2 linked regions of the Notamacropus eugenii genome follow. The protein of the gene in region 2 purifies or fractionates together with the protein of the main gene of each other region. This does not show direct contact. Links are inferred from orthologs where the notes say so. Each region holds a gene or a part of one and is shown on either strand. Other genes may lie near its edges. The genes, in order: SREBF1 and SCAP.

Region 1 (16,550 bases), on a different chromosome or scaffold from region 2:
CAAGGACTCTGTCAGAGGCTGTAAGAGAGGGAGTCCACAGGCTTGTTTTCAGACTAAATCACAATTGAATACAGTACAATAGAACGAAATGGCAAAATAATCTCAGCCTCAGCCTGCAAGCCTGGTTTGCACAATTGTGGAGAGGATTTCCAAGTTCCTCACTGCCCTTTGATGTGGCCATGCAGTTACTTCAGGATTACAACGTGAAAGTGTCCTGCCCCTCTGTGACCCAGCTGACTTGAGAGCAAAGATAAGAGAGATCACCAGTCACCTCTGAACTCCAGAAAGAGCCAAGGGAAGACAAGGGGAGGGGCAAGAGATAACTTTCCAGACTGGTATGCCAGAGACTATATAAATAGCCTTTGACCTGGAAAAAACTCTACGTAGTCAGATGACCCTTTGGCCTGGTGAGATGGCAAGGCTTCTGAAGCATTGGCACCCATGTCATTCAGTTCTGAGGTAGGGTTCCTTTCCAAGTGCTTCTGATTCTTCCCCTCACATTGGGTCAACCTATGGGGTTGTTTGCCCACTGGGTTCCAGCCAAGTCAACAAAACAAAATCTGTCAATAGGTAACTCTTGGGCAAGAGGTTAATGCCGGACCTTCTCCCCAAATCATCACACTTACCACCCACTCAGGCATGAATGAGATAATTGTTTTTTCTTGTGGTTGTTGAGCTGTGTGTCTCAAACTCACACTGGAAATAGTTCAAGGTCACCACTGTCTCTCTCTAGCTCAAATCCTACAAGTTCTGTACCCAGGCAGGTAATAACCTTTATTTTAAAACTCCTGTTGCAATTGTCCCTTGTTTTCTGTAAACCCAGTTGAAAATCCACATATATATTTACAAGAATCTAAGTTAGGGAGTGATAATAATTTCATGGGGCAAGTAGGTGGCACAGTGGAGAGAGTGCCAGGCCTGGAATTAGGAAGATTCATCTTCCGGAGTTCAAATGCAGCCTTACACACTTGCTAGCGGGTGACCCTGGGCAAGTCACTTCACCCTATTTGCCTCAGTTGCCTTATCTGTAAAATGAACTGGAGAAGGAAAGGGAAAAGCACTCCAGTATCTCTTCCAAGAAAACCCCAAATGTGGTCATAAAGAGTTGGATATGACTGAAACTGACTGAATAGCAATAACAGTCTTATCCAATTATTCTTCTTGTCAATGAATTCATAGAATCATCGTATGTTAGATCTAGAGGGAAATTAGAGATCTTATCTACTCATCTCACTGCAAAGATGATGAAACAGACACAGAAAGGAAGAGTGACTTACTTAAGGTTATCCCTTCAAGAGATCACACAATCAATCGACAAGCATTTATGTGAGTGTAACATAAATAGGCAAAGAATACAATTTATCGTTCAGTCGTTTTCAGTTGTGTCCAACTCTTTGTGACACCATCTGGGATTTTCTTGGCAAAAATACTGGAGTGGTTTACCATTTCCTTCTCTTGCTCCTCTTACAAATGAGGAAAATGAGGCAAACGAGTTTAAGTGACTCGCCCAGGATCACACATCCAGTAAATATGTGAGACCAGATCTGAATGTAGAAGATGAGTCTTCCTGACTCCAGGCCTGGCACTCTATCCAGTGTACCACCACCCCTCCCCCAAAAATTTTTTTAAAGGAATAAAATATAAGGTGATTAAAGGAAGACAAGTCTTCCCTGAGAAGGTGGTGCTTAAGGTTTATCTTGAACAAAAAGAGGAGTCCCAACAAGTAGAGGGTGAAGAGGGAGGACATTTCAAGAACAGAGGAGGGCCAGTGAAAAGGCTCAGGAGATAGGACTGTCATGTGACTAAGAGGAAGAAGGCCAGTTTGGCAGGACCACAGAATAATGTGGAACAAGGCTGTTAAGACAAGTTGGAGCCAGGCTGTAAAGGGCTTTTAAAAGCCAAAAGGAGGAGTCCACATTATATATACCCAAGGCAACAGAAAGCCCCTGGAGTTTACTGAGTAGAGGAATGACATGGTTCAGACCTGCGCTTAAGAGAAAAAGGGAGAAACAATTTTAGTAACATTTAGCATTTATATACCACTTCAAAGTTTGCAAAATGCTTTACAAAAATGGATTTATTTAATCCACACTAGGACCTTGGGAGGAAAGTGTCATTATTATCTCTATTTTAAAGAAGGCAAGAGAGGTTAAGTGACTTGTCCAGAGTCATACAGCTAGTAAGTATCTGAAGCCAAATCTGAATTCAGGTCTTCCTGACCCCAGGCCCAGGTCCTCTGTCCAGGAAACACAATTAGGGAGTCATTTCAATAGCCCAGAAAATCAGGAGTATACTGATAAATGTTACACATGACATATTTTTTAGTTTAATCTGCATTATTAATGTTTTTTCCATCACTTTCTTCAATCAAGACACTCGTCAAAACAATCATGCCCTGATTTATAGCATTTACTTATATTTATTATTATACCATTTATATGCATATTATTTATTATACTTATTTTTTATATAACAGGAAGAATACCCTAATTTTCAATTTATTATATTTATAGAATTTACTTATTTATAGCATTCCAAAGTGTAAATGCTCACACTGAAAATGTACCAGTCAGCTCTCACCAGCCATCAGAGCTGGCTTTTGCACAGCACTGGATGGGAGCTTGAAAGAAGATACTGGCTGCATGACTATAAAGAAGTGGATCTAATCGAGCCAAGTTGTGGAAGCAGAAAAGTCAAGATGTAGCAATGGATAGGATATGTGGAGTGAATGAGATAGAGACATGGAGGATAATGCTAACCTTGTGAACCTGGGGGACTAGAAGAATGGAGGTTTTGAGGTTAGGGGTTTAGAGATGCTCAGAACCCCAAAATACCAACACCCCAGGTCCTGCCAAATGAATTCCACCCAAGCCTTCTTTCAGCCAAAATAAAACAAAGTTTTATTAAAGATCCACCATACTGGGTAGAAGAAGAGGTTTAAGAAGCCTCACCATTTGTGATGCTTGTATTGACAAACCAGCAAGACTGAATCTGAGCTAGATGGAATCTGAGTGCCTGCAGGTAGATAAGAAGGATCCTATATACTAAAAGACTGTGGGAGAGATCTAGGGGTGGCCAAACAGTCTGGGGTGAAAGGAGAAGGGGTTTAGGTAGGGTCTGGATGGAAACAAAGGAGGGCTAGGTTAGCTTAAGGATAACAAATTTGGGCATATATATTTTGAAAGGATCAAGGGTGGGAAACAGCCGGGGGCAACTGGACAAAGCTAAAATGAAAGGCTTATGGCCTCAGGGGCCAGATCAAGGAGAGTGGTACCCTTTTATAGAAAAATAGAATTTTAGGAAAATAATGAGTTCTCTTTGAACAGTCTGAATTGAACATGTCTCCATGTTATTCAAAGGGAAATGCTCCATAGGTGATGTAGGACTAGTACAGAGATTGGACATAGGGGTATGGGAATAAGGGAACCCATGGGACCTGAGGTCACCGAGAAACCTTGGTGTAGATAACCTCTAGAACTCAATACTCTTTACTTTCTTCTCCCCTTTTCACTTTTTTGTTTTCTCCTCACTTTCAAACTATCTCACCCAAGATTCCTTCAAATATCAAGTGTCTTCTGCACATTTAAGAAAGTCTGAGTTATAAAAACTCCATCTATATCTTATTTAGTGAGTGAAATAAGAGTTCGACCCCCATCACCAGTCCTTCCAGTAGCCTACTTCCATGTCACACCCAACTCTCCTCCATTTGGTTCACCCAGGGCCCTTCCTGGGAACTTGTCACTCTCTCAGGCTATCTTTCTGTTTCCCTCCTCTGAGACCTAAAGGAGTTATCCATTCTCCTGCTTTCCCTTTCTCTCCACCCACTCATACCTAAACCCCTTAGCAATCTGAAGTCATTCCCACCATGGTGAAGAAGCTCTTCCCTCCAAGGTCATTCAACATCCTCCTTATCCATAAATCCAAAGGCATTTTTCCCCCTCCTTATCCTGGACCAGAGTAGACCATTCCCTCCTTTTAAATATCCTCTCCTCCCACCTGGATTCCAGAGAAGCTGAGTTCTTCCCAAACAAACCTCCCTAACCATTCCTAGGAAACTTTTGCCAGCTCCTCCTTAAATGTTAGCAGCACTAGGCCCTCAGTCCTTCCCTCTCCAGATTCTCCCCCAGAGAATCCACTCCACAGTTTCAACTTTAAACTCTATGCAAATAAATCTCGCATCAATCAATCAAGGAAGCAATACAAATGTATTTCGAACTCCAGTTGTCACTGACCTTCCAGCACTGTTACCTGGGACCTCAGCAAACTGAACTCATCCTTCTCCTCCAGTCAGCTTTGGTCCCAATTCTGCTGATGACATCACCTTCCTGCCACCTGGAGTCATAACTTAGCAGTCATGTTGGACTCTTCTCTTTCCTTCATTCTCCCTCCCTTTTGGAGTAGCAGGAAAAGTACCATTTTTGGAGTCAAGAATCCTGGGTTCAAACCTTAGCTCTGCTAACTTACTAAATGTGTGATCTCAGGAAAGTCATGAGGCCTCTGGACCTCCATTTCCTCCTTCGTAAAATATGGGGGTTGGCCAGTTGATGGCTCAGATCCCTAAGATCAGGTGACAAGTCTGATCCATTTTGCCTTCTAGAAACTTCTCTCGCCATCTGGCTCCACCTCTCCAATATCACAGTCACCCACCGCAGGCCAAGTGGTCACCTCTTCTTACCTAGATTATTGCAACAGCCTCTCAATTACTCCTGTTTTCAGTTGATCCCCTCTCCAAACTATCACCAGTGCTATCATATTCTTAGGGCACCTAGGGGATGCAATGGATAGAGCACAGGGCTGGGAATCAGTTAGATTCATCTTCCTAAATTCAAATCCAGCCTCAGACACTAGCTGTGTGACCCTGGGCAAGTCACTCTACCTGCCTCCAGCTTCCTCATCTAACTCCCCAGGATGGTAGTGAGCATTAAATGAGCATTATTTATATCATATGCAAACATATATTATATACATTACGTTATATGCAGATGCTATTTGTAAAGTACTTAGCACAATGCTAGGCACATTAATTAATTAGTTAATGGGCACTTAATAAATGCTGATTTCCTTCCTCCTTGACCTCAATCTCCTTTGTTCAAGGTAGTCTCCATGCATGGGTGGGAGTTTTTTTCCAACCCCAAACTGTCCACTTAATTCCTCTCTTTCTTTAAAGTTCAACTCAACTCTTCATGCCCAAATGAAAGTGACACCTTGACTGTACTTTGAGGTCTAATAGTACTTCATCTACACTTTTCTTTCACCCTCATCAATCAGTCCAGCAATACACAAGATTGTATTTACCTGTTACAATGTGCCAGGCACTGTGGTTAAGTGCTTTACAAATATTATCCAGAGATACAAAGAGAAGGCAAAAACAGTCTTTGTCCTTAAGGAGGTTACATTTGAACGAGGGTAATGATACATACATAAATGTGGAAAGACATGCTACATAGAGTCCATGAGGGATTAGAGGGAACAGCTCTAGAGGCTGAGATGACATGATCTGAGCCAAGACCTAATGGAAGACAGTAATGCTAAGAACTGAAGGGGAGGAGGGAGGGCTTTCCAGGCACCGGGTGGTGGATACAGTGTCATGTGTGAGGAAGCTGGAAAATACAGTTTGTGGAGGGGAGTAATGTGAAGAATGCTGGAAAGGCAGGAAGGTACCAAATTGAAAAGACCTTTACATGACGTTTTTATTTAATCTTGGAGGTGATAAGGTGCTCTACAGGAGTACAGCAGTGACATGGTCAGACCTAGGTTTTGGGAATATCCATTTGGCAGCTATGCAGAGTATACACTGGAACAGGAAAAGTTATTTAGATTGTAAGATTGGATATTATTATTTGAATAATCAATGGGAAGCCTTTTTGTTCCACTGGGATCCATGCAATGTCAAGAAAGGTCTCTTACTTATCATCTAGGTAACCTTGGGCAAGCCACTAAACCTTTTTGCCTCAGTCTCCTCATTTGTAAAATGATGATAATAGTACCTATCTCCCTGGATTATAGTGGGGATAAAATGAGGTGATATTTGTAAACAGGTTTGCAAATCTTAAAGCCCATATAACTGCTAGCTATCCTTGCAGTTCAGGTGTGTCCTACCATTCATGATCCCATTGCTTTTCTTGGCAAAGATCCTGGAGTAGTTTGCCATTTCCTTCTCCAGCTCCACTTTACAGATTGCAGAAACTGAGGCAAATAGGGTTACCCAGCATCGCACAGCTAATAACTGTCTGAGTTCACATTTGAACTCAGGTCCTCCTGACTCCAGACCTAGCAGCTAGCTATCAATGTTCATCTAAACTTTCTGTCTCTCTCTGTCCCTTCCCTGCAGCCCCCACTCCCATCAGCAGAATGCTCTGTACACACTATTATCTAACAGTAGACCTTACATAAAAAGTTTATTGTTGAATGAATGAATCTTCTGGAAAAGAAAGCGATCTCTCACTAATATACTCTAATCTACCCCATTCCTACTTCACTAATCAGTGCCTCAATCCCTCAATTTATGAAAAATAATTCTGGCCCTGAGAAGGAAAAAGTACAGTTTTCTGTCAGGAAAGATTCTAGGGGTAAATATCCCCCCTTCAGAGCAAGATTTCTCTATAAAAGGGACTGATAGAAAGATGGATTTCCTACTGCCCACAGAAGGCGGTCTACCTTGTAAAACAAGCATTTTGATACAGAGTAAGAAAGAGCCCTGCACTTGGAGTTAGGAGAACTGAGTTTGAGAATCGCACTTGTTACACTCACTACCGTGACTCACTGGCCTCAGTTTCTCCATTAGCACAATACCTGTAGTACCAACCGACTACAGGTTGTACACACTTAAACAAGAAGGTTTAAGTAATGTGCTTTACAAAGCTTAAAAGGGCTGCATGAACGGATAATTCAAGGCCAATTCCTTCTCCCAGTCACAGGCTTATCAGAAGCTCCACGTGGATGGGTCAGAGCACCCGGGTTAGCTTTTGCTAAGAAAACCCCAGGCTAGATTCTGGGATATTTTCTGGGTGGTTTCCTAAGGGCAGAGTTGTTGGGCGCCGGAGGGCAGGGCCGTCTCCTGCTCCCTTCTCCCCCTCCTCTCCCCCCGCTTCCCCCTTCCCCCCCACCTCCCCTCCCACTGCAGGCTCCAGCAGAGCTCAGTGAACTCTGGCGGGCCGAGGGAATGACCGGGGGTAACCTCTCTGGCTGACGCTGACGTCACGAGCTCCTGGGCCCTCGGGGGGGCGGGGCTTGGGGGCCGCACCATTTGGGAGCCCCTCGCTCCTCCGCGGCCCGAAGAGGCGTGGCCGCTTCTAGGGGGAGGACCGAGTCCCCCCGGGCCGGACAGCTGCTGGGGAAGGGGTCCGCGGCGGGGAGGGGGGAGGGTCTGGGTCTCCCCGGGTGCCTCCAGACGGCGAGTCCCCAACTGTGCGCGCATCCTGGGACTCGGTGCCCGCGGACAGGCACGAACACATTCAGACACACGCCACAGCCACACGCGGAATCCCGAGCCGCAGACACGCGCGGAAGCACGCATACACACTCCCCCTCGACGCCCGGGGCCAGCCCAGCCAGGCTGAGGATCCCGGAGGGCTGCCCCGATCACCGCCCCCCCCACCCTCCCGGCCGGGCTCCCACGCGCCCCTCCCCGGGACCCACCTTCGATGTCACTGAGCAGAGCCGAGTCGATGTCGCTGGCCTCGCCCAGGGCCAGGGAGGGATCCAAGGCCGCCTCGTCGAAGGACAGGTCGTTCATGGTGGCGGCCGGAGGGAGCCCGGAGCTCCGCCGCCGCCGCGTCCCGCCCGCCGGCCCCAGACGCCTCCTCCGGGCTGGTGGCGTTCCTCTCCACGCACCGCGCCTTTGCCTGAGCCTCCCCTTAGCTCTGCTCCATGGACCGCGCGCTTTCCGGAGGACTAACCGTGCACGCCCCGAACTCTGCCCAGGCCCGCCGGCGGCTGGTGGCCTCGCCCAGTTCCTGAAACAAAGTTAGTGCCAGGGTCGCCACCCGCCCGCCCCCGGCGCCATACCCGCTAAAAGTTGGTAGCTTAACTGCCCCGTGGAGGGGGAGGGGAGGGAGAGGGCGCGGGGCGGGGCATCGGCGCCGGGTGTTTCCACCCCACCCCATCCTGCCCCCCCCCCCCCCCCCCCCCCCCCCGCCCTTCAGTTTTTGAGTGACAGCCCCATCCCGAACTCGGAGCCTCTAGGGACGCTCCGAAGCGGAGGAAGGAGCCGAGGAACGGGGCTACCTAAGGCCTGGGCAGCGCCAGTCCGCTGCTGGGGACCACGTGGAGCCGGGAGGCTGGACCTGGGGGGAGCGTGGGGTGAGGGGCTCTCTGGGCAGCGACCAGGTATAGGGCGCACCTAGCTCTGCCAAGTGCGGAGCCACTCCGCAGGGTTCGAGGCCGAAGTCTGCTGGAGGATTTGAGGGGGCCCCCGACGCGGGGGGACAGCTCGCCTGGTTGGCACCCTCCCCCTCAGGGAAGCCCTGGCGCACAGACCCCTCGGTCCCCGAATTTATGGAGATGCCAGGCTGACTGTGACCGCCCTGTATTTGCAGCTTCCCTGGACGCTTAGCCTGTCCTCAGACGTAAAAATTCTCTTTTGAATCAGGGACCAGATCAGCCAGCTTTCCCCATACCAATCCAGGTGGAGCAGGTCACCTGGAGCCTGGTTGAAAGGAACCGAGCTGATGCCATCCAGACTGGCAGATCAAGACTCTGTCCATATTCCTGCCCCACCTTCACTGCCAGTTCCTACTTTTAACTTGGGGTCTGATCCAGTGGTTATCAAAGTGTGGTCTGAAGACAGTTACCTGGGAGTCCCCAGTTCAAAGCCATTTTCATAATCATAGTTATTTGTCTATTACAATGTACTTGCCTTTTCCAGCTACTTATCTGTGTGAGGCCAGATTTTCTTCATATGTGAAGAACAAACCAACATGCTTCATTCATGCCAAGGCGGAGATCAGAATCCAGCTGTCTTCTATTTAAACCAGAATTTAAAGAGATATGCAAAAATATGTAAAATAATGCCAGTCTTCTCACGGAATATTTTTGTTTTCAAAAATATAGTTATTTTTCATAAAACAAATGTGATTTGTGTTAACATGTAATAGGCCTGTTATTTTAATTAATAAACATTTAGATTTTCTCAGTTTTAATTTCTGGTACAGCAACTATCAAAAGATATAAATCACATAAACAAAAGTTCTTTGGGGTCCTCAGTAATTTTAAGAATGCCAAAAAACCAAAAAAAAAAACCTGCTCTAATCCAACCTCTCCATGAGTAAAGTGAGACCCAGGGAGGGAAGTGACCACAGATGGGGAGGCCAGGAGAAGAGGTGGGGTGGATGACTAGGTTCTGGTCTTAGAGGAATTGGAGTCCCAGAGCCTGGGCTTGAAATAGAATTGCTACCAGTCTGACTTTAGGCAAGTCACTTCACTCCAGGCCTCAGGTGCTTAATCTGTAAAACTAAGTTGATCAGGTTTGGAGGTTCATGCCTCTATCCTCTACCACTGGGAAGGCTGCGACTGAAGGATCAGTTGGGTTTGGGAGTTCTGAGCTGCTGTAGAGTCTAAGGCCTATTAGAAAATGTGTCTAACATATATGGTTAAATCCAGAGGAAGGGTGGGTGGCATCAGGCTGCCTAAAGAGGGTCCAGCAGAAGGTTGGGCCAGGGTTCCCTGCAGGTCAGAAGCCTAGGTGACAGATAGGGAGACATAGTCTCAGAAAAAGAAAAAAAATAAGGAGTGGGTGAAATCTTTATCTCAGCTGCGTCTATAGTTGATGCCCAGGCCCTAGAACCCTCTCCCTCCTCCATTCCACCTACTAACCTCCTTGACTTTCTTTACGTCCCAACTAAAATCCTATGTTTTACTGGAAGCCCTCTCCACTGCCTTTTAATTCTAGTGCCTTCTTTCTGTTAATTATTTCCTGCTTATCCTGGATAAAGCTGGTTTTGTAGATATTTGTTTGTATATTGCCTCCCACATTATTCTGCAAGTTCTTTGAGGTCAGAGATTATCTTTTACTGCTTTTTTGTATTCCCATAGATTAGCACAATTCCTGGCACATGGCATAAATGTTTAATGATTGGCATTGGTTCCTTCTATGATACAGGTTAACATTTGATTTTTTATCAGATTTGGATAAAACTTTGCACTTGTGTTCATCTTCACCTTTTTATTGTTTTATTCTTACAGTAAAGTCTCATTTTAATGCCTCATCCTGGTGTGTCAGTGATTCTGGGTTCTAGGTACCACAGAGGAACAGACAAGCTACTATCAAAGTAGGCCTTGTTGATGGGGGATCCAAAGACTGCGTGCCTGCCTCCGGAAGACCAGCCTAGTTAAATCTGGAGAGGGTCCACAACAGAAGACTGGCCACCAAGTGAAGGTTTCTTTCCTCACAAAATCTAATGAAAGGTGTAGAGGGATTCCAACATCTGCCTCTGGCTTAGTGGAGTCTGTGTTTCATGCAAAAGAAATCATAGATCTTTTCAAGTATTAATAAGGTATCATTTTACTGGGCATGTCTTCTTAACTAATTGGCAAGTTTCTTGAGGGACAGATTTTATCTTTTATTTCATTTTTGTCACCATTTCATTTCTATCAGTCTAGGATGTACTGAATACAGTCACCTAGTAAATACTTAGTTGATATTTGGATTGTGGTAAATGTAAACAAGTTCTAGCCTCCCTTCTTTCAGGACCCAGAGCGGGGCTAATAATCAATAGTTAGTGGGCCAAAAGTCCTGAAGCATTTGTCTGGATGGCTTCAACCCTGTAGGAAAAAAATCTTGAGTGATTTAATTGAAAAGCTTGAAATGGGTGGGCTCTTCTCACGTCACTCCCAGTCTGGGGAAAGGGTAGATCTGAAGGAGTTGAAAGGCATTATACATAATCTGGTTTTCATCTGACAAGCAGTTATAAGTACACATTGCATTTTTCATCCCTGTTGGGCCAAAGAAAGGAGGTATATATCAATGGCAGCCCGAGCTCCCATCTGGTTCACAGATTCCTATACAGTAATACGTAACATTTATTGTTTCAAAGCACCTTCATCCAACATGTCCCTTGTCCTCACTGCAACCTTCTGCGAGAGATATTGAATATTATTTCCATTTATTTGACAAGGGAACCAAAGCATGGAAAGTTTCAGGAAGTCAGTATAGAAGCTAGGTCTACTGACATTCACATTTCAGTCCCTGTGCTTATCTTTTTAAAAAATTATTTGAATTTTAAATTTAATTTAAATTTATTTTTTTCTCAATTATATCTAAGTAAAAATTTTCAACATTTTTTTTAATTTTGAGTTTCAAATTGTGATTTGATATAGATTATAAATGTGTAGTCTTGCAAAACAAAGATACACAGATCAAAAAAACAAGAATAACAAAGAAAGCCAAAAAAAGTATGTTTCTATCTGCATTCATACACCATCCTTACCTGGAGGCAGGTAGTATTTTACATCATAAGGCCTTCAGAATTGTTTGGGACCATTGTATTCCTGAGAATAGCTGTCATTCACAGTTGGGGAATGACTGAACAAGTTGTGGTATATGATTGTGATAGAATTTGTGGTTATTCAGTCTTTTCATCTTTGTCCAACTCTCCATGACCTTATATGGGGTTTTCTTAACAAAGATACCAGAGTGGTTTGCCATTTCCTTTTCCAACTTATTTTACAGCTGAGGAAACTGGGGCAAACAACATTAAATGAACTTGCCCCCAGTCACCCAGCTATTAAGTGTATAAGGTCAGATTTGAATTCAGGTCTTCCTGATTCCAGGTCCATGGTTGTATCCATTTTGCCAGGTAGCTGTCTTTGTGATGGAATACTATTGTGCTATAAGAAATGATGAAGGGCAGCTAGGTAGTACAGTGGTTAGAGCACTTTCCCTGGAGTCGGGAAGACCTGAGTTCAAATTTGACCTCAGACACTGGATACTTACTAGCAGTGTGACCCTGAACAAGTCACTTAACCCTGATTGCCTTGCAAAAAAGAAAAAAAAAATGAAGAGCAAGATGCTTTCAGAAAATCTGGGAAGATTTACATGAATTGATACAAAGTGAAATGAGCAGAACCTGTGCTTGTTCTTAAAGACAAATTGCCTCTCTCAAGCTTATTGAAAAAACAGGTTATGTAGCCTTTCAGACAAGGGAATGTGGAACATATTTTTGAAAATATGTAGTCACATGCTTATTTGTTACAAGGATTATGTTTTCCTTTTTTTTTTTTTTTTGAGAGGGGAGATTTAGGTAGGAAAAAAGGGATCTGGTAATATTATTCCTAAAAAAAAAAAGGAAAGGAAAGAGGTTCATTGAAGCATTTTTTTTTAAATGCAAAGAAGTACCTAAAAGGCAGTTCAGAAAGAAACAAGAGGTAAGCAGGACAGCTTTGAAAATAACATGCTGAATTTAGTGTGTGTGTGTAATAGATTCATGTTCTTACAGGTATTCTTTTCCTGTTCTACTTTGGATACGAAAATTTTTTTTAGTGTTCATTACAGAAAAAAACTAAAGCAGACAATATATCGTCACCCTTTTACCTCCCAAAAGACAATTAAATGCCCCCAATGCTGGTTCATATCCCTAGGTTTACTGTTAGCATGTATTCACTTATTTCTGTTGTTGATGTTAGAGCCAAATTCCTAACAGATTCTGACTTGGCTGCCAATTCAAAAGGGCTACGACAGTAATCCCATCTGACCAACTATAGCAAACTATTACCTCCCTCAGAATCAGAGTAGAAAACCATATGGATATGGTAATGATGATAACAGAATAAATTTATAACATTAAACCAGTCATTTCACCCAGATGGTGTTTAGTTGTGAAGCAAACTTGGATTTTGAGTAGAATCTTAGTTCTGAAAGGAATCTTAGCTAACATCCAGTCCAGCAGGCTCATGAGTGACCATGGGAGGTTTAGAAAAGTGAAATAACAATAGCCACCAGGGTTTGCCAATTAAGATGGAAGGCCCATCTTCAGGGTGCTAGTCAGAGAATTTCTTTATGGAATCCTGGAGATACCAGTCAAGTCAGAGTTCAGATAACTATGAAAATAGCTATTTCTAACTAAGGTAAAGGCAGTGGTCTTGAAAGGACTGTTTTGCTTTGTCATTGAATCCCCGATGTCTAGCACAGGACTTGGCACATAGTAGGCTCTTAATAAATGCTTATTGATTGACCGATGGACCCTGCTACTCCAGAGTTGTGAAGATCTGAGAGGAAACAGCACGGCCCTTCGAGAGACAGTAGGCTGAAGAGGCAAGAAAGGACAGTGGTTGGAGCAGAAGGTAAAGTCTTCTTATTGTAAGGGCGGTGACAGCAGGAAGAATTTGGAAGAGATTTAATGCTTTAAATCCGTGCCAAGCTAATCAAATAATGTGATTGTAATTTTGAAGTTCCACATATGAACTAACTTTCTCAAGTCCCTCCTTCTACAGGAAGTGTTATACTTTAAAATATGGGCAGTTAGATGGCCAGTGGATAGAGCACTGGCCTGAAGTCCCAAGTTCAAATATTTACTAGTTGTGTGACCCTGGGCAAGTCACTTAAACCTTTTTGCCTTAGCTTCCTCATCTGTAAAATGAGCTGGAGAAGGAACTGGCCAATCACTTCAGTAGCTCTGTCAAGAAAACCCCAAATGGGGTCACAAAGAATCAGACATGACTGAAGCAACTGAACAACATAGTGTTATACTTTTAAACAGCTGATGACTGCATGTGCAGTGTTGAGGGAGACAGGATGAGCAAGGAGTATCTTTGGAGAAGAAAAAGGTAGGAAGATTTTAAGATCTAAGAAGCATCCCTCTCTATAACTCTGCTTAGAGACAGCCACAGAGTAGGGAAGTATGGTGGAAGTATGTAATTCTGTTTGAAGACCACCCATTTTAAGCCGAGACACCTTACACACAGGTGTTATTTGAGGAGTGCTGGGAAGGACCTCTTCACCAACTAAATATCTATTTCACCCCCCTCCCCCCACTGATCAACAGGCAGACACCCTTGAAGGAGGAGCAAGACTGAGCCTGTACTACATCAGACCTTTTTCAGATAGGAATAATCTAGGGATGCCTGGCACCAGGGTGGAGCATGAGGAGGTGTGTAGGGTCTTCACTCTCCCTTTCCCTCCCTCCCTCTCCAACTGAAAGGGAGGAAAAGTAACAGAAGAGGACGTTTCTCCATTTAAATTTCTCCAAGGGTATTCTTGTTCTCGGGCTTTAGGTCTTTTAGCAGCTTTCTCACCTCCCTGGGATGGCAATGGAACATACTCTGATTTGCAGAGACTTTGAAATCCTTCAGAGAGATACATCCCAGCCCAGATCAGGGCTGATGCAATTTCCTACTTCCCATCGTCTGATCAAATATTTGTGAGGGTGAAGCCCTTAAGAGCCCCACCCCACCCTATTATGTCCCCTAAAATCTGGGAAACATCCAAAGTACAAGGGTCTAGGGCTGGTTAACTGGCAGCCCGAACAGAAGAGACTAGAGGACAGGAGAAGAGAGAAAGAAGGAGAGAGAGAAGAGGAAAAGGAAGGAGGGGAGGAGAGAATAAGAGAGGAGAGCTAAGAAGAAGGGAGGAGAAGAGGAGAAAGGAGGACAGGAGAGGAGAGAAGGGTGGAGAAGAGAGAAAGGAGAAGGAGAGAAGGAAAAGAGAGGAGAGCAGAGAAGAAGGGAGGGGAGGAGAGGAGGCCCTAGCATCTAGGAGTGGGGAAGGGAAACACTGAAGTAAGAAGTGCCCAACCTTTCTTAGCTGTGGGCAACCAAGGACATGTTTGGTGTTCCAAGGACACTGCCATATAGCCCTGCTCCCACGCAGGACTCAGTCAGTAAGTACCTATTCCCTCCAAGCCGGGAGTGAGCTAGAAGAGGCAGGGGCCCGTAGAGAGCGCCCATAGCATAAAAGATATTCGAACTAGAGGTTGAGGACCACAGGGTGCTGTTTGACCTTGGTCACTTTCCTCTCTGGGCTTGTTTCCATATCTGTAAAGTGAGCGTAATGGAGATTTGGGGGACAAATGAGACGTAAGAGTGCTTTGGAAATGGGGAGGGCTTTCAATAACCCAGCACTTACTAAGTGCCTACCCTGTGCATGACGTGGTGTTATGGATACCGGGGACCTTCGTTTAGGGATTCTAACCCAGGCAGACAGCATGTACGTATAGAAGCATACATATAGAATATATCGATATATTTATTAAGCGCCTATTCTGAGCCAAGCACGGTGCTATACACCAAAAGAGGCAAGAAGAACATTCCCCTCTCAATCTAACGGCCGAGACCACACAGCATCCGGAGCAAGCTATGTACAGGACAGATAGGACAATTAAAAGAGGGAGGTGGCTGGAAATGGAAAGGGGTCGGGGGACGGCTTCCTATAGAAGGCGGGGTTTTAGGTGGGACTTAATGAATTCAAGGTGGCTTCGGGGAGATCCAGCCCCAGCCGGGAGCATCGGGAAAGGTTCCATACAGAAGGGGGTGCCCCTGTGGGTCACTGCGGTAAGCCAGGGATTCCAAAATCTGGGGTGAGGAGAGAGTTCAACTCCTTCCCCGCATGGGGGAGAGTGGAGAGTTTACTGAGGTAATTACAGAGTCCCACGTCCTGAAGCTGGGGGCAGGGAGGAGGAGATAGAGGTTTCTAGGAAGCCTCCCACACCTACTGCCAGCCAGAGCCTTCCGGGACGCCCGGAGCCAGGCTAAGCCGAACCTCGTGTGGGCGGGGCGGGGCTACGGCCGCACCAGCCAATGGGCGGGCTCGAGGCTAGACCTTTTTTTTCCTGGCAAAGTTTGGTTCCCGAGCGCCGGAGGAGGGGGAGGGGGAGGATCCCCGCCCGTAGAACCAGGGAGGAGCAGCCAATAGGCGTGCGGGGCCGCAGTGGAGTGATTCGGCATCACGGCTCCCGGCGCGGCGGTGACCTCATGTAATCCTCCCGGGAAGCCGGCCATTGGGTCACATGCCCCCCGCGCCCTAGAGAGGGCAGGCTTGTCCCGGTCCGACGCGTGGCCCGGCTTGGGGGCCGCAGTGCACCTGGCCTGGGAGGGGCTGGCCCCTCTCCCCGCCCCACCCCCATCCCGGGGAGGCTTATCGGGCCTCGCCTGGATCATTTCCCCAGAGAATCCTAACAGCCGTCATTCCTAATAATAGCTTGCGTTTATGTGGTGCGCCAGCGTCTCCATCGCTGCGCATAACTCCCTTGTTCCCAGTGCTCTTTTTATCCCCATTTTGCAGATAAGGAAACCGAGGCAGACGGGTTAAGTAACTTGCCCAGCCTCCGGTAGCTAGATGAGTGTCTGAGGCAAGATTGTAACCTTTAAGCCTGTATTGTATCCACTTCCCCACCGCAGAATCCCAGAATGTTACATAAGTTGCAGGAGCTGCCAGTCACCGGGCCCAGATGAACGGTGTGACCTGGGGCCTGGGGGGAAAAAACACCTGCCAAGGTATTGTCAGCAGTACTTGGAAAACTGGGGATCGGGACCTCCAGGGATGGAGAAAGGTATGTGTCCTGATTTTCAAAAAGAGGGAAGAAATGGGTCTAAAATCTATAGGTCAATGAACGTGACAG
Region 2 (15,954 bases):
CTCACCCTATGTCCTCTGTCTCTTCATATATATACACACACATATACATATATACATACACACATACATACAAACATACATATATACATTCCTTCCAACTATTCAAATATTGAGAAAAGTCTCTTGAGTTACAAATATCATCTTTCCATGTAGGAATGTAAACCATCAAACTTTAGTAAGTCCTTTATGGTTTCTCTTTCCTGCTTACCTTTTCATACTTCTCTTGATTCTTGTATTTGAATGTCAAATTTTCTATTCAGTACTGGTCTTTTCAATAAAAATGTTGGGATGTCCTCTATTTCATTAAAGCTCCACTTTTCCCCCTAAAGTATTGTACTCCATTTTGCCGGGTAGGTGATTTTTGGTTTTAATCCTATCTCCTTTGACCTATCATATTCCAAGATCTCTGATCCCTTAGTATAGAAGCTGCTAAGTCCTATGTTATCCTGATTGTGTTTCCACAATACTTGAATTGCTTCTTTCTGGCTGCTTGCAATATTTTCTCCTCGCCCTGGAAGTCAGCAACAATATTCCTAAGGAGTTTTCCTTTGGGGATCTCTTTCAGGAGATCAGTGGATTTTTTCCATTTCTATTTTACCCTCTGGTTTTAGAATATCAGGGCAGTCTTTCTTGAAAATTTCTTGAAAGATGATTTCTAGGCTCTTTTTTTGATCGTGGCTTTCAGGTAATCAAATAATTTTTAAATTATCTCTCCTGGGTCCATTTTCCAGGTCACTGTTTTTCCAACGAGATACTTTTCTTCTATTTTTTCACTCTTTTAGTTTTGTTTTATAATCTCTTGACTTCTCATTAAGTCATTTGCTTCCATTTGCAGGCAGTTTTCAGAAGAAGAAATAGAAAGCTACCTAGAGTCATATGAAAAAATGCTCTAAATCACTACTGATTTGAGAAAGGCAAATTAAAACAACTCTAAGGTACCAACTTTACCCCTATTAGAAATGATAAATGCTGGAGGGGATGAGGAAAAACAGCTACATCAATGAACTGTTGGCAGAGTAGTGAACTGATCCAACCACTCAGGAGAACAATTTGGAACTATGTCCAAATGACTATAAAACTGTGCATAACCTTTGTATCCAGCAATGCTACTACTAGGTCTGTGCTCCAAAGAGGTCAAAGAAAAAGATCTACATGTACAGAAAAATATAGCAGCTCTTTTTGTGCTGGCAAAGAATAAAAAATCAAGGGGATGTTCAATTGGGGAATGACTGAAAAAATTCATATATATATTGATTGTGATGGAGAACTCTTGTGCAGTAAGAAATGAAAAGCAGGATGGTTTCAGAAGGAACACGTCAAGACCTATACGAACTGATGAAAAGTGAAGTGAGAAGAACTGAGAGATCACTGAGCAAAGTAACAGCAATGTTGTAATGATGATGAACCATGAAAGACTTGGCTACTCTGATCAATATAGTGGTCCAATACAATTCCAAAGGACTCATGATGAAGAAATGCTTATCTCCAGAGAGAAAGAACTGAAGAACTCTATGCGCAAACTGAAGCATAACTTTCTTGCTTTATTTTTTTAATGATCTGGATAATATGTAAATGTTTTGTATGATTTAACATACAGAATTGATTTCATATTGTTTGCTTTCTCTCAGTGGATAGGGGAAGGGAGAGAGGGAGAGAATGTGGAACCCAGATTTAAAAAAAAAAAATTTTTTAAGTAATGTTTTAGAAGTAAAATAAAATTAATGGAACAGAAAAGTCACTAATATGCCAGAGTCTCTTGTGACAGTATGACAAATACTCTACTGAAATTAAATATATTTTCCTAAAGAGCTCCAAAATGCTTCTCAGAATGGATCTCATTTATCTTTGAAAAGGACAGGAGTCAAGGCACAAGTGGAAAAGCCAGAACCAAAACTCAGGTTCTTTCTAGCAAATTGGCTGACAGGGGATCAATAAATTTGTATTTTAAAAAATGCATTTAGTACTTACTCATGCATGTGCTGAGTAAAATAACTATACTCATAAAGTACTGTACCCATTCTTTTAAAATAAAACAATTACTGGAAAATCTAATTTTAAAAACTTTTCTTTGCCATTTAAAATATTCAATTAGCAGCTTACAGTCTCCTTAGTTTTCCAGAAATCTCAGACACCTGCCATCACTATAATCCAGAGAAAATACAGTCTTGAGTGAAGGATCATGGCTGTAAAACTTCTCTTACTTAAAAAATTTGACTCATTATCAGTATGATTTAAGGACCATAATGTCATATGGACCTTTCCATATTACTTGATCAAGCATCCTAAATTCCTGAAAAGGAAAAAAATCCAAGAGTTTGGATGTTAAAGTCTTAATACTAGTCTAATAACTAATGTAACACTAATCTAATAATTCGAATCACTACATAGTTCAGGTTTTGAGGAGCAGCATGTTATACTGGAAAGAGGGCTGCCTCTGCAGTCAGAAAAACTTGATCACACACCAACACTAGCACAAACTTGGGACGTGATTCATGGCAAGTAATGTAACCTGTCAGTGCCCAGCCAACTGTCTCAAAGTTGCTGACTTATAGTTAGGAATTTTTTCAATGGAAGTTCTCTACATCTATAAAAGGTATAGAGATTCAGAGAAAAAGAAACCAAACCAAAATATATTGATGGTAAGACTAAACTCCAACTTAAAAAATATGGATTCTACCAAATAGAAATCGAACTGAATCAGCACAAGGTTCAGCATATCCCTTTTCTACCAAATCCATTGTCCAGTCATGGTATACAGTTGTGAAGTAATCCCTAGTCAGAATAAAATAATGATACAATGCTTACTATGTGCAAAACCCTGTGCTATGCACTGGAAATACAAATAGAAAAGACAGGCCCTGCTCCCAAAGAGCTCACATTCTAATGGGGTAGACAACACACATTGAAAGCTTCACCTGCAAATAAGATGCAATGTTCTTGTTATCCTTAGGGTGCCTGACAAATCATATCCATCTCTGAGGCTGAACCCTTTGACAGGGCCAAGGCCTTTAGTGGCTGCTGCTCCTTCAAGAGCAGTTACCAGGTGGCAACCTACACAGGGATGCTTCCCAGGAGAACAGTTCAAATGGGGAGCTTCAAGCACTACCATTCCCTAGGCTCTTGGGTTCAGGGTCTTGATTTGTCTCCATCCAGGATCTGAGAGGAGAGGGAGGTCTAAATGGTGGTGGTGGAAGCCTGCCCTGCCTGAAACATGCTGCCCCCTATCACTTCCCCAGGGCACTCTGCTTACTGCTTCAGCTGGGCTGGCCAGCCTGCCCTATGGGAGTAGTTGGTTGGCAGGTGGTAGGGATAGCTGGCCCCCTTTCCACAGGAACTGCTTCCTAAGATGATGGCTGTGAGGGCTGGACTGAAAGCAGGACCAGTAGCACGGAGAGTGATGTGATCATCTGCCTACTGGTGGCAATTAGCTGGCAACTGTTGCTGGTGTGGATAAGGAAGATGAGCTCTTTCTTCACAATGGTTTCTCCCCTCAATGATGACTGTAGGGGCTGGGCTGGAACAGAAGCAGTTTAGTAGCCTGGGAGACCCTACTGTTGCCAAAGCTCTTGAGTTCAAGGTCCTGGAGATCCTATCAGGATCTGAGAGAAACTGTTGATCAATGGCTTCGCCTGGCCTGCACTCTGTGTAGCAACTGGTTTGTTCAAGTTTGTTACTTTTAGGTCTGAATTGTGTTATAAGGTCTTTCTTAAAAAGGAGAGTTTATGTTCTTTAATTCCATCACAGAAGTATGTACTTACCAGTAGAAGTAAGAGAGGGGCTGGGATCTGGGACCTGAACCATGGATTAATTTTAAAGTCACCAAATGTAAATGTCCTGTCTCACTACATCCTAGGCTATATATCTTCCCTCTTCCTGTGCTCATCACTTCTAACAAATTAACTTGCTTCAGAGCCCTATATGCTGGTCAAGTCTCCTTTTAAGCTGTACCCAATGCTAATACTGTCTTCCTCCTAGCCTAGCAAATTTCTCTTCATTCACCTCAGCAACTCCAGAAATGCCATCATCTCCCTTGGCCCTTCCCCTTCACACCCCCAAAATGCTATTTAAAACTTTAAATGTATGTAATTAATTACTTAATTCCATCCACTTCTGCAGGTACTCAGTACTTCCTTCTGTTACTTATCATGGCATGCTGGTATTCTTTGTTCATTAGTGTTTCCTGTCTTATATTAGAAAGACAGAGAAGAGAATGAAAATTAATATGGATTATCGTATCAGCCTGTCATAAATCAGTAGAAACTTAAATGAATTCTTTTAGGAGGAGTCTTTGGGAAGGACAAGCTTCCCGGTAGTCACCCAATCTAAAGAATCATGTCTACTTTTAAGTACAAATTTTAAGGCCAGTAGGTTCGGAAAATGGCAACCAGAATGGTCGGGGAATTGGAAAGCACCTCATATGAGGGGTTTAAGGAACTAGGCGTACCTTAACCAGCAGAAAAGACCACTTAGGTGGCAGAAGAATTGGGCTTACTTGGCACTAGCAGGCAGAAATGGAAGCAATGTGTGGAAGTTGCAAAGGATGATTTTAACTCTACAAAAAAGGAAATGGAAGTGATTGTTGAAAACTGAAAACAAATTAACAAATTTTGGGGGAAAAAAAGGAAATGTATGGCACAGAGTAAGCTCTTAATAAATGTTCCATCTAAAAATTAGAATTGTACAGAAGTGAAATTGGTTGCCTCCTTTGAGAAACAGCAAATTCTCCACTGTAAGTCCTAAAACAGCCTACATGCCTACTCCTAAGGCTCATCTAAAGAAGCTTCTCATTCATTCATCGGTTGTGTTCTATATGACATCCGAGGTTCCCTCTAACTCAGGTTCTGTAAATTATCAACATCTGTTAAAATTTTTCTTTATTTCTTGTCTCTTCTCTCATTTCACTTTTTAAACCTTTGCAATCTGGCTTCCTATCTCATTACCCAACCAAAACTTCTATCTCCAAAGTTATCAGTCTTCTCTTCCTTGACAAATCTGATGGCCTTTCCTCAATCCTCATCCTTCTTGATTCACCTGGAGCGCTTAAAACCACCAATCATCCTCTGTACCTCAAACTGGAACACTAATGCATTGCTGATGGAGTTGTGAACTGATTCAATCATTCAGGGGAGGAATCTGAAACTGTTCCCAAAGGACTATAAAACTGTGCATACCCTTTGATCTGGTAATATCATTGCTAGGTCTGTACCCTAAAGAAATCAGAAAAAAAAAAAAAAGGAAAAGTACCCACATATACAAAAATATTTATAATAGCTCTTTTCGAGGTGGCAAAAAATTGGAAATTGAGGGGTGCCCATCAACTGGGGAATGGCTGTTGTGGTATACAAATGTAACGGAATGCTATTATTCCATAAGGAATAATGAGCAGGCAACTTCAGAAAAACCTGCAAAGACTTACATGAACTAATGCTGAGTGAAATGAGCAAAACCATGAGAATATCATACACAGCAATGCTGTGCCATGACCAACTTTGACAGACTTAGCTCTTTCTCAGCAAAACAACGATCTAAGACAATTCCAAGACTCATGATGGAAAATGTTATCCACTTCCACAAAGAACTATGAATGAAATCGGAATGTATAAATCAAAGCATACTCTTTTCTTTGTCTTTTCTTTCTCTTGGTTTTTTCTTTTTGCTCTGATTCTTCTTTCACAACTTGACTAATATGGAAATATATTTAATATGATTATACGTGTATAGTCCATATAAGATTACTCGCCCTTTTGGGGAAGGGAAAAATACGGAACTCAAAATCTTACAAAAGTGAATGTTGAAAACTAAAACAAAAAAATAAAAAGAGAAGGGAACCTCTTTACACAAAAATTTTTTTAATAAAATAAAAAGTAAATAAATTCTCTTTCTTTGAGTTTTCATGTCATTGGTTATCTCCTGGTTGTCTGACTCCCCCTTCTGAGTCTCTTTGGTTCATTATCTGGATCAATTCCCTAACTGTGGATGTCTACAAAGGATCTACACTCACCCTGCTCTCTCATTTGGTGACCTCTTAAGTTCCCAAGGTTTAATTATCAGACATATGCAGATATCTCACAGATTTATATGTTCAGTCTTAGTCTCTTTCTTGAGTTCTAATCCCATCTCAAAGTCAACAAGTCCAAACCTGAACTTCCTATCTCCCCTAGGAGCCCTTCAGAATTTTCCTGTTCCTGTAGAGGGCACCACCATCCTTCCAATAAAAACATTCATCTGCCATATCTTGTCATTTTTACCTCCACAATATCTCTCACACCCAAATCCTCTCTATGCACACGGCCACCACCCTTGTTCAGGCCATCGTCATCTCAGCCACTCCCACAGCCTCTTAGTTGTCTCTCTAAGTCTCTCCCCTCTCCAATGAATGCTACACAGATCTGCCTAGGGAGACTTTTCCAAAGGGCAGCTTTTACTTGGTCATTCCCTTACTCAATAAACTCCAACTCCAGAGGCCCCCTATTGCTGCTAGGATAAAACTCTTCCTTTAGCATTTCAAGCTGGCCAACTTTACTACATTATTACACGTTATTCCCCTTTCCACATTCTAAAACCAGGCCAAACGGGCCTTCACGCTGTTCTCTCACTCCTCTCACTCCTTCCACCACATCTAAATCCCACGTTTCATTCAAAACTCAGCTCAAGCGCCACTGTCTACATGAAGCTTTTCCTAATTCCCCAAGCCCATCGTATCCTCGCTCCCCAAATTGTCTTGCAATTCTTTAGTCTCTCTTTTGCATGTTCTCAGGTATGCACCGTGCCTCAACGGAGTACTGGCTCCCTTTCTGATGCGCACCTGACGAGTGCCGGCCAGGTACTTAATGCGCCTGTGCATTAAATGACAAAACACCCTCCTTGTCCTCAGGGGGCTACCTACCTGCTGAGCCTGAACATGGAAAACTCACAGTACAAGCCACAGGGCCGGACAAGCGGCCCACGGACAGACGCCCAGGTTTAGAGCAGCGAGGATCCACAGCCCCCAAACACACGCGTGTAAAGCGTCCTCACGGCAGGGCAGGTCGGACGGCCGCCCTGCCTCCTGGTCCCCCCGCTGCTGACTTGCCTTCTCTGGGCACCGTCTCCTGTCCTACCAACCTGCGGCTTCCACAAGCACCTCCTCGGACAAAGGAACAACTAAGGCGCGCACCAGGATTGGGTCGTTCTGGGTTCTGTTCTCCAGGGCCCTGAAGCGGTAAGGCCCGGAGGGCTCGGTCCCTGGTCCCTGCGCGGCGGTCCCTCCGGACCTCAGTCTCCTCCTCTGACCCTTCTAAGCCCCTCCCCCGGCTCCAACCATGACCGAGGGGCAGAGCAGCAGACAAGCGGGCGATGCCCGTCAGCAAGGGCACGCTGCAGCGGTCACCCCGTAGACAGGGCACCAATCCTAGACCTCCCGCTGCCGCCAACGACTGCTACAAATGCGCTTGTTCAAAGACGAAGCACAGAGGGATGGCCACCTAGAGCTTTACCAAGCACTGAAAACCCTGGCTTATCAATGCCTCAAGCATGCCGGGTGTGGTTCAAGTCCCATCCCCACAACTTATCGATAACCTCAGGCACGCCACAGTCTGCGCCTCTGGGTCCCCACTCGCCACACCAAGGCTCCTTTCTCGTTTACTTAGTCACAAAGCGGCGCGGTGCAAGTACCGTGGAACCCCCACGCAATTAAAAGGGTGACAGAAGACAGGCTGTTCTGAGGGTCCTGAGACCCGGCCGGACCGGCCCGGACTCCGCGACTCAGGCCTCGGTTCACCCTCTGCACCCCAGGGGTCCAACCTTAAAGCCCCGCACCCCTTCCTGCGCTAACGCTGACCCGCAACGTACCCGTGAACACGGCGCCCCCCGCGACAACAACGACAAACAGAACCTCGGCGGGATGTTCTCGGAGGAGCCCAGCCCCGAGCCCATGCCCACGCCCCCGCCGGCCTGCCGCCGCTGGCACCGGGCAGCCTCCTCCGGTGACCGGGCACAGGGCAGGAGCTCCGGGGGGGCGGGGGCGGGCCGGGCTCCCGCTGCTCTGGGGGGCATCCCCCGCGAGGTCAGGGCCCGCGCCCAGGGCTTCTCGGTGAGTGCCGCGGTGGCTGCGGGCGCGGTGCGGGAGGCCCCATGACGGCCAGGGCCAGCCCGTCACTCTGGGGGTGCCACAGAGGACCAGACGCCTGAACACCAGGGGGCAGAGAGGGCCGAAGCCCCCCGGAAGAGGCCCGTCGGACCCCCTGCGGCTTCGGGGGCCCGGGAAGCGCTCCCCCCGCGCGTGCACACGCACAGAAGCGCGCGCAAACACGCATCCGAACGCGCGCGTGCGCACTCACGCACACGACTCAAGTTTGGCTCCGGCATTCCCACGGAGACAAGAAGATGCCGCGTCCCCCGCCTCGGTGCCCGGGAAGCGGGGGGGGCGGGGAGGAAGCTGCCGCAGAGCAGTCGGGAAGCCGCTCGCCGCCGCCCTTTCCCGCTCCCCGGAGCCCGGCCGGGGCCAGCCGCGGGGGAGCGCGGCCGCCCGGGCGGGCCCTCGGAGGGCAGGCAGGTGGGGGGCGAAGGGCCGGCACCACAGGTGGGCCGCGGCGCGGGGCGGAGGGAGGCGGGGGGCCACGCGCGGCCTAGAGCCCGGCGGAGGCAGCCACGTTACCTGCGGCGGCGGCGGCTCGCGGGCCGCGGGAGGGCCTGGGCTCGGCCCCGGGCGCGGAGGGAGGGACGCGAGGGACGCCCTCCGCTCGGACCGCGGCTCCCAGGCTCCACTCCGCTCTCCTCCCACTTCACCTCTCACCTCCTACCTTTCCCCTCCTCCCGTCCCGCCCACTCTCCCTCGACCCCGCCCCAGTCTCCTCTCTCCTCCGCTTCCCAGCCCACGCACGTGCTTCCGCACGCTTCCGCAGCGCCTCTAGCCCCGCCCTCTCCCCAGCCCCGCCCTCTCCCCGGCCCCGCGGTCGCTCGCTCGTGCGCACGCGCGGGCCCACGAGTCGGGAGGCGGAGGGCTTCGGGAGGGCCTGGGAGGTGGGCGGGGCTGGAAGTGTGGTCCCGGCGGCTCGCGCGCGCCCCCTGGCGCGTTGGTGCGTACCTGCAGCTCCCGCCCAGAATCCCGGCTAAGACGTGGGGCGGGCGGGGAAGACCTGCAGCGGTCAGAGCGGTGAGTGACCCTGGGCAAGTCACTCAAGTGACCCAGCGGCCTCGTTGTTCTCAGCGTGGAGGGGAGACGCTCACAGCCCCCAGCTCCGGGTGTCTGTAACGTGCGTAGCGCAGGCGGGCTCTGGATAAATCGGTGTGTGTCCCCTCGATGTGGATCGTGCGTGTGTCCTGACAGGTAAGTGTGTGTGTGCAGTGTAGACCGGCGGCTCCGTGGGACTGATGCACCTGATGAGGCCGGTCTGCGGAGCCGAGGCGGGGAGCTCACCTGCTGCATTGGAGGCGGAGAGCGCACCTGCGGGAGCCGAGGGGGAGAGCTCACCTGCTGCATTGGAGGCGGAGAGCTCACCTGCGGGAGCCGAGGGGGAGAGCGCACCTGCTGCATTGGAGGCGGAGAGCTCACCTGCGGGAGCCGAGGGGGAGAGCGCACCTGCTGCATTGGAGGCGGAGAGCTCACCTGCGGGAGCCGAGGGGGAGAGCGCACCTGCGGGAGCCGAGGGGGAGAGCTCACCTGCTGCATTGGAGGCGGAGAGCTCACCTGCGGGAGCCGAGGGGGAGAGCTCACCTGCTGCATTGGAGGCGGAGAGCTCACCTGCGGGAGCCGAGGGGGAGAGCGCACCTGCTGCATTGGAGGCGGAGAGCTCACCTGCGGGAGCCGAGGGGGAGAGCGCACCTGCGGGAGCCGAGGGGGAGAGCGCACCTGCTGCATTGGAGGCGGAGAGCGCACCTGCGGGAGCCGAGGGTGGAGAGCGCACCTGCGGGAGCCGAGGGGGAGAGCGCACCTGCAGGGAAGCTCCACGCACCCACCTGCTTCTTGGTATGGTGCGGTGCATAGACTGTATTTGCACCCGCATAGGCCTCTTCCGGGCTGATTATTAAGAGGGTCTGATGAGATCATCGTCCGAAAACCCTTAGCGCAGTGCCTGGCACAGAGGAAGCACTCTCTCAAGGGTCCTTATTTTAATTAGTTTAACTTTAATATGATTTCATAATATGGTAGGCATTATTTCTCCCCCCCCACACACACACCATTCACCACTCTCTGATATCTGCCCTCAGGAAGCTTACCATCTAGTGGGGGAGACGACATGCAAACCAATGCATACAAAGCAGATTATATGCAGGATGAGGGAAGGAATTAGAATTAAGAGAAGCTGGAGAAGGCTTCCTACAAGAGATGGGATTTTAGTTGGGACTTCAAGGAAGTCAGAGAGGTCTGTAGTCAGAGTAGAGGAAGAGGAGCGTTCCAGGCCCAGGGGACTATTAGAGGGGGTGCCCAGAGCCAAGGATGAAAGGTCTTGTTCCAGGAGGCCAGTGTCACTGGACTGAAGAGTTGTTGTTGGTTGTTGTGTTAGGGAGTGCAGTATAAAAAGACTGGGAAGGGAAACGAGAGCTGGGTTATAAAGGGCTCTGAATGCCAAACAAAGCATTTTGTATTTGCTCCTGCAGACAATAGAGAGCCATGGGGGAAGGAGGGGAGCACTGTTTGGACCTGTGTTATAGGAAAAATCACTTTCATGACTGAATGGAGAATAGATGGAGTGGGGAGAGTCTTGAGGCAGGTAGACACACACCCAACAGGCTACTACAACAGTCCAGGCCTCATGGCCTACAACAGGGTCCGTCTCAGTATCAGAGAAGAGAAGGAGGCATATTGGAGAGATGTTGCAAAGGTGAAATCTACAGGTTTTGGCAACAGCTTGAACATGGGGGCTAAGAGAAAGGACCCTAGGATGACTCTTGGGTTGTGAGCCCAAGGGAGGATGGTGTTGCCCTCTAAGGGCAGGTATTGGGGGGAAGGATAAGGAGTTCTGTTTTGGACATAGTAAATTTAAGATGTCTACTGGACATCTGGTTCTAGATGTCTGAAAGGCAGGTGGAGATTAGGAGAGAGATTCAGTCAAGAAACGCAGATTTGGGAAGCATCAGCATAGAAATGGCAGTGAAATCCATGGGAGCTGAGGAGATCACCAAGTGAAGTAGCATAGAGGGAGAAGAGAAGGGAGTCCAGGACAGAACCTTGAGGGACATCTCCTATTAGAGGGTGTAACCCAGAGGAGGATCAGTCAAACAGGTAGGAGAACCAGGAGAGAGTGACGGCCTGAAAACCAAGGAGGAGAGGGGGATCAACAGTGTCAAAGGCTGCAGAGAGGTCAAGGAGAATGAGGACTGAGAAAGGGCCACTGGAGTTGGCAACTAAGAGATCATTTTTGGAGAGAGTAGCTTCTGCAGAATGGCCAGATTGTAAGGGGTTAAGAAGAGTGTGAGGAGAGAAAGTGAAGGCACCTACTGTAGGCTTGAGGCATTTAAGGGCAGAAGAGGATGATGGAAGGGATGGAAAAGTCAAGGGAGGTTTTTTTCAGGCTCAGTGGGAAACATGAGCATGTGTATGGGCAGTGGGAAATGAGCCAGGAGAGAAGGAAAGGTTGAAAATAAGTGCAAGAGTGAGGATGACAGAGGGGGCAGTCTGTTGGAGGAGATGGAATGGAATGGGATCACTTGAACTGGTTAGCCTTGGTAAGGAAGGAGCAAGGTCCCTTCATCATGTGAGACATGGATGAAGGAGCAGACATGTTTGTTAATTAATCCTACAAGCGTAGAGGATGAAATATCAAGTAAGACCGATGAAAGCTGCTAAAGGTCAGACAGTTTTTCTATAACAAACCCTTTCCTCCAACAAAAACAGTGGAGCTACAACATTTAGACTCACTGAATAATGTGAGACAGGATCTCTAAAGAAAAGAAAGAGAGAAAAAATGCTGAGCTAGACTAAGCGTACAAAGATGTCAGGATCATATGTGGCCCTGAAGCGACACCACAGGGGAAAGAACTGTTCAACAGTCCTCTGATTTTTAAAATCATGTGAAATAAGCAGGAAAATGTTTTCTTGTCCAAAGTTTTGTCTTGTTTTGTTTTGTTTTTTTGTTTTTTTTAACCAGTAGCACAGGGTGTTGAGGGCTAGGATGGAGTGCTGTTGGCAAGGTCAGGATAGAACTTCGGGAAACCTGTTCTTTGAGACTGTGCTCATGACCATCCAGAATGACTCTCCAGGGCCGCTTCCCCCCACCCCCCCACCCCCAGTTGCTATCTCCAAGAGATAAACAAGAGAACTACAAAATACTACAGAATACAAGGGATATGTAAAATAGATGCCCTTTAAGCTAACATTCTTTAAGACAATAAGACTGGCCAAATTACTAGGACAGGACAGGAGAGGAGTAAATTGTCGTAGACTTGCAGTTTCTGTCTCTGAATACCCTGACCCTCCTATCAATAAATGGAGTTGTCCTGTCCTCTCCTGCCTGCCTATGTGTCTTTCTTTTTCCCTGCTGTCACTGAGCCACATGGGGATGCCGGCTGTCCATCACAGCAGGGGGTATCCAGTACGGAGTCCAAATTGAAGAGGAATTTTCCTGTAAGGGAACTCTTGTTTATGCAAGTAATTACACTGATTACATCAGGGCCTGAAAGACTGCAGAAGTTCTCCAGTGAAACTCATAATCACCCAAAAGAACATGGACTAACAATTTACTCGGGAAAAACCAAGTGGATGATAGTATATTATCTAAATTACAATAGAAATTGGAAGGACAGCCCTTAGAGTAGGTCCATTTCTTGGACAGATATGTCAGCCAGGCAAAGCCCCCCCTCAAAGTACAGAGGAGTCCAAGCTGAGCTGAAGACACAAACATTTTATTAGGAGGAAAATCAGACACTAGTGTTGAGGAACCCCAGTACAAAGTACAAAGGAACCCATGCCTAGGACAGGCAGGAGCAGTTTCTACTTGAAAACCACAAAAGGGAGATTCAGGGAGGGATTACATAAAGAATGGACAGTCTTTCCCAGCAACAGATAGGACACAGAAGCAGGATGTTTTGTAGGTACTTTCACAAATATGGCAGATGGAAAATGAACCGGGTCCATAATTAAACTGGAGGAAGAGAGTGGACTAGATTGTATTTGGAAGATTGTGCAGTGTTTTAAACAACTAGAAGTTTTTCCATAAAACAAACTCATCTTTTTAACACCAGTATTCTTTAGTAAAGATTACAAATCATGACCTATCATGATTTCCAAAGACTAAAAATTAAAGGTCACCCAAGAAGAAAGACATTGGGCTTGTATGCAGCTGCTGCTATGTGTAACCAATAAAGAGTCATGCTTAGGAGGCAGTGTAGGAGAGATCCTCACAGAGATAGACCAGAAAAAAAGGTGTATTTAGAGGAAAGGGTAACAGGTGGATAGTCCAGAAACCCAGGGAAATAGCTAAATATGAAAAAGTCAACAAATGTATGGTTGAGTCATGGGATTCAGAGAGAAAAAAGATAAGATTCTTACAAGTTCAAAAGGGAAAGGTCACAGGTTTTAGTGGGACTCAAATAATATTAAGACCTAGAGAAAGGGTCCCAGAACACTCGGTGTATTCACTGTGGAGAATTCGCTGGAGAGTATGAACAAGAGTCACACAAGAAAAGAAGGCCAGATGTGTTGCAATTTGCATTAGTGGAGGGATTTTCCCTATTGATAAGATCACTGAACCATTTACAAAATCAATCAACAAGCATTTTTGAGCAGTTCCTATGTGCCAGGCACTGTGGTAGGTGCTGAAGATAGAAACACAAAGACTGAAACAATCCCTACTCTCGATATGATACTCTCTTATCAATAAAAGGCAGTTGAGCACAATGGAGGAAGTGAATAAGGGTAGTAGCAGTTGGGCTTCGTAGAGAAGGTAGTACTTGAATTATATCTTTTTTTTTTCTTTTTTTGAGGCAATTGGGGATAAGTGACTTCCTCAGAGTCACACAGAGCTAATAAGTGTCTGAGGTCAGATTTGAACCAGGTCCTCCTCACTCCAGGGCCAGTGCTGTATCTTTGTGTCACTTAGCTGCCCCTCCTTGAACTGCATCTTGAAGGAAATGAGGGATTCTGTGAATCAGAGGTGAGGGAGCAAGCCCAAGAGGTCAGCCAGTGCAAAGGCACGAAGAGGGAAGATGAAGTAGGTGTGTATGAGGAAAAAGGCTCTCCAGTGTGAGGAGGAGAGTGATGCAGAATGATGCTGGAAAGACAAATTAGGAACAGCTTGTGACCACCTTTAAAAGCCAGAAGAGTTAATATTTTATCTGGGGACAGTAGGGAATTTATTGAGTAGGAAGATCACACAGTCAGAGCTGCTCTGTGGAGAATGGGTCCAAGTGGAGATAGAATGGAGGCCAGCCTGAACTAGAATGGTGGATGTATGTATGAAGAGAAGAGGTCAAATGAAGAGAGGTGGTGTAGGTAGAAATGGTTGTACTCGGTGATGGATTTGGATATTTGGTTGTGAGGGAGAATAAACAGTCAAAGAGGACTAGGAGGTTATAGGAGACTTAGAGACTGGAAGAATGATGGTGCCTCACCAGAAACAGGGGTAAGTTTTGGAGAGAAGATGTTGAATTCTGTTTGGGGCTTGTCTAGTTTGAGATGTCCCTGGGACATTCAGTTAGAAATGTCCCAAAGGCAAGAGGTGATGCAGTACTGGAACTCGGGAAAGAGAGTAGGACTGGAGATTGGTAGATAGATCGATCAAATGATCGATCAGTCAAGATCTGTGATTCGCCTACATAAAGAATGACAATTAAATCTCTGGGAGATGATGAAGAGAGGGAGGGAGGGTGAAACAGACAGACAAGAAAATTCAAGACATAGCCACAGTTGGGTGTGGTTGTGGATGATGAATCAGCAAAAAAGTCTGAGGTGGAGCAGTCTGACAGACAGAAGGAAGATTGAGAGAGCAGTGTCCTGAAAACCCAAAGAGGAGAGACCATTGGGGAAGAAAAAGTGGGGAGGGCTGAGAAAAGACATTTGGCAAGTAAGAGATGACTGGAAATTCTGAGGAAAGCCATTTCAGATGAGTGATGAGGTAGATGATAGAGAAAGGGTTGAAGAGGGTGTGACTGCGGAGAAGGTAGAAGCAATGACTAGACACAACCTTTTCTAAGCACTGAAACAAGTCTGTGTCTGTGTATGTACGTAGGCACACACAAATGTATGTCCGTATACATTTATTATGTGCCAAGCACTGCGCTAAGTGCTAAGGCTACAGATATAAATAAAAGGAAGATGGTCCCTGTCCTCCAGGAGCTTCCAGTCCAATAGGAATGACAACACAGAAAAGGTAGGGAAGAAGGAAAGGGGAAGGGAGGAAAGCATTCTGGAGAAGTCCAGAAGCAGTGCAGCCAGTGGGAAATTGGGAGATGCCTCCTTAAACCGAGACTTTGGAGCTCATCATGTGAGGGGAAGAGCATACTGATGAGATGTGAGGACCAAGGCCGACTTGATCCTGCAAGATGACAAGATTTCCCAGGATTGACCCTGGGACATGATGGAGAAGTTCCAAAGCAGTTACAGAGGAGGAAACTGAGGGCCAGAAGGGGTAACCTATAGTTTGTGGCAAAGCTGGGATTCAAACTGAGCCCTTCTTTCCATAGCAACAAGTCTGTTTCCCCTTCCTTCTCCTCCCTCCTCCTGTATGTATAAATGTACATGTATAGAGAGAAGGGGAGGGAGGATCATAAATGAGCAGAGCTGGAAGGGACCTTGTTATTGATCAGTCATTTCAGTCATGTCTGACTCTTCATGGCCCCATTGGGGGGTTTTCCTGGCAAAGATGTTGGAGTGAGTCACCATTCCTTCTCCAGCTCATTTTACAGATGAAGAAACTAAGTGTCTGAGGCCAGAATTGAACCCAGGAAGATCTTCCTGACTCCAGGCCCAGGACTCTATCCACTGTGCCACCTAGAGACCACCAAATTTAATCCACACATTTCACAGGTGAGAAAACT

What was found.
Region 1: the proteins of SCAP (region 2) and SREBF1 purify together in Homo sapiens (affinity purification with western blotting; 4 studies listed by BioGRID and IntAct, with this or other methods). This does not show direct contact. The link is inferred for Notamacropus eugenii from reciprocal best matches to the Homo sapiens genes SCAP and SREBF1.

The regions. Positions count from the first base shown.
Region 1 is NC_092874.1:335,018,032-335,034,581, forward strand, and holds the start of SREBF1 (sterol regulatory element-binding protein 1), read right to left. Parts: upstream 8,061-16,550; 5' UTR 7,736-8,060; coding exon 7,639-7,735; intron 1-7,638.
Region 2 is NC_092872.1:12,530,578-12,546,531, forward strand, and holds the start of SCAP (sterol regulatory element-binding protein cleavage-activating protein), read right to left. Parts: upstream 8,779-15,954; 5' UTR 8,636-8,778; intron 7,849-8,635; exon of another isoform or gene 7,831-7,848; intron 1-7,830. UniProt on the Homo sapiens protein: Escort protein required for cholesterol as well as lipid homeostasis.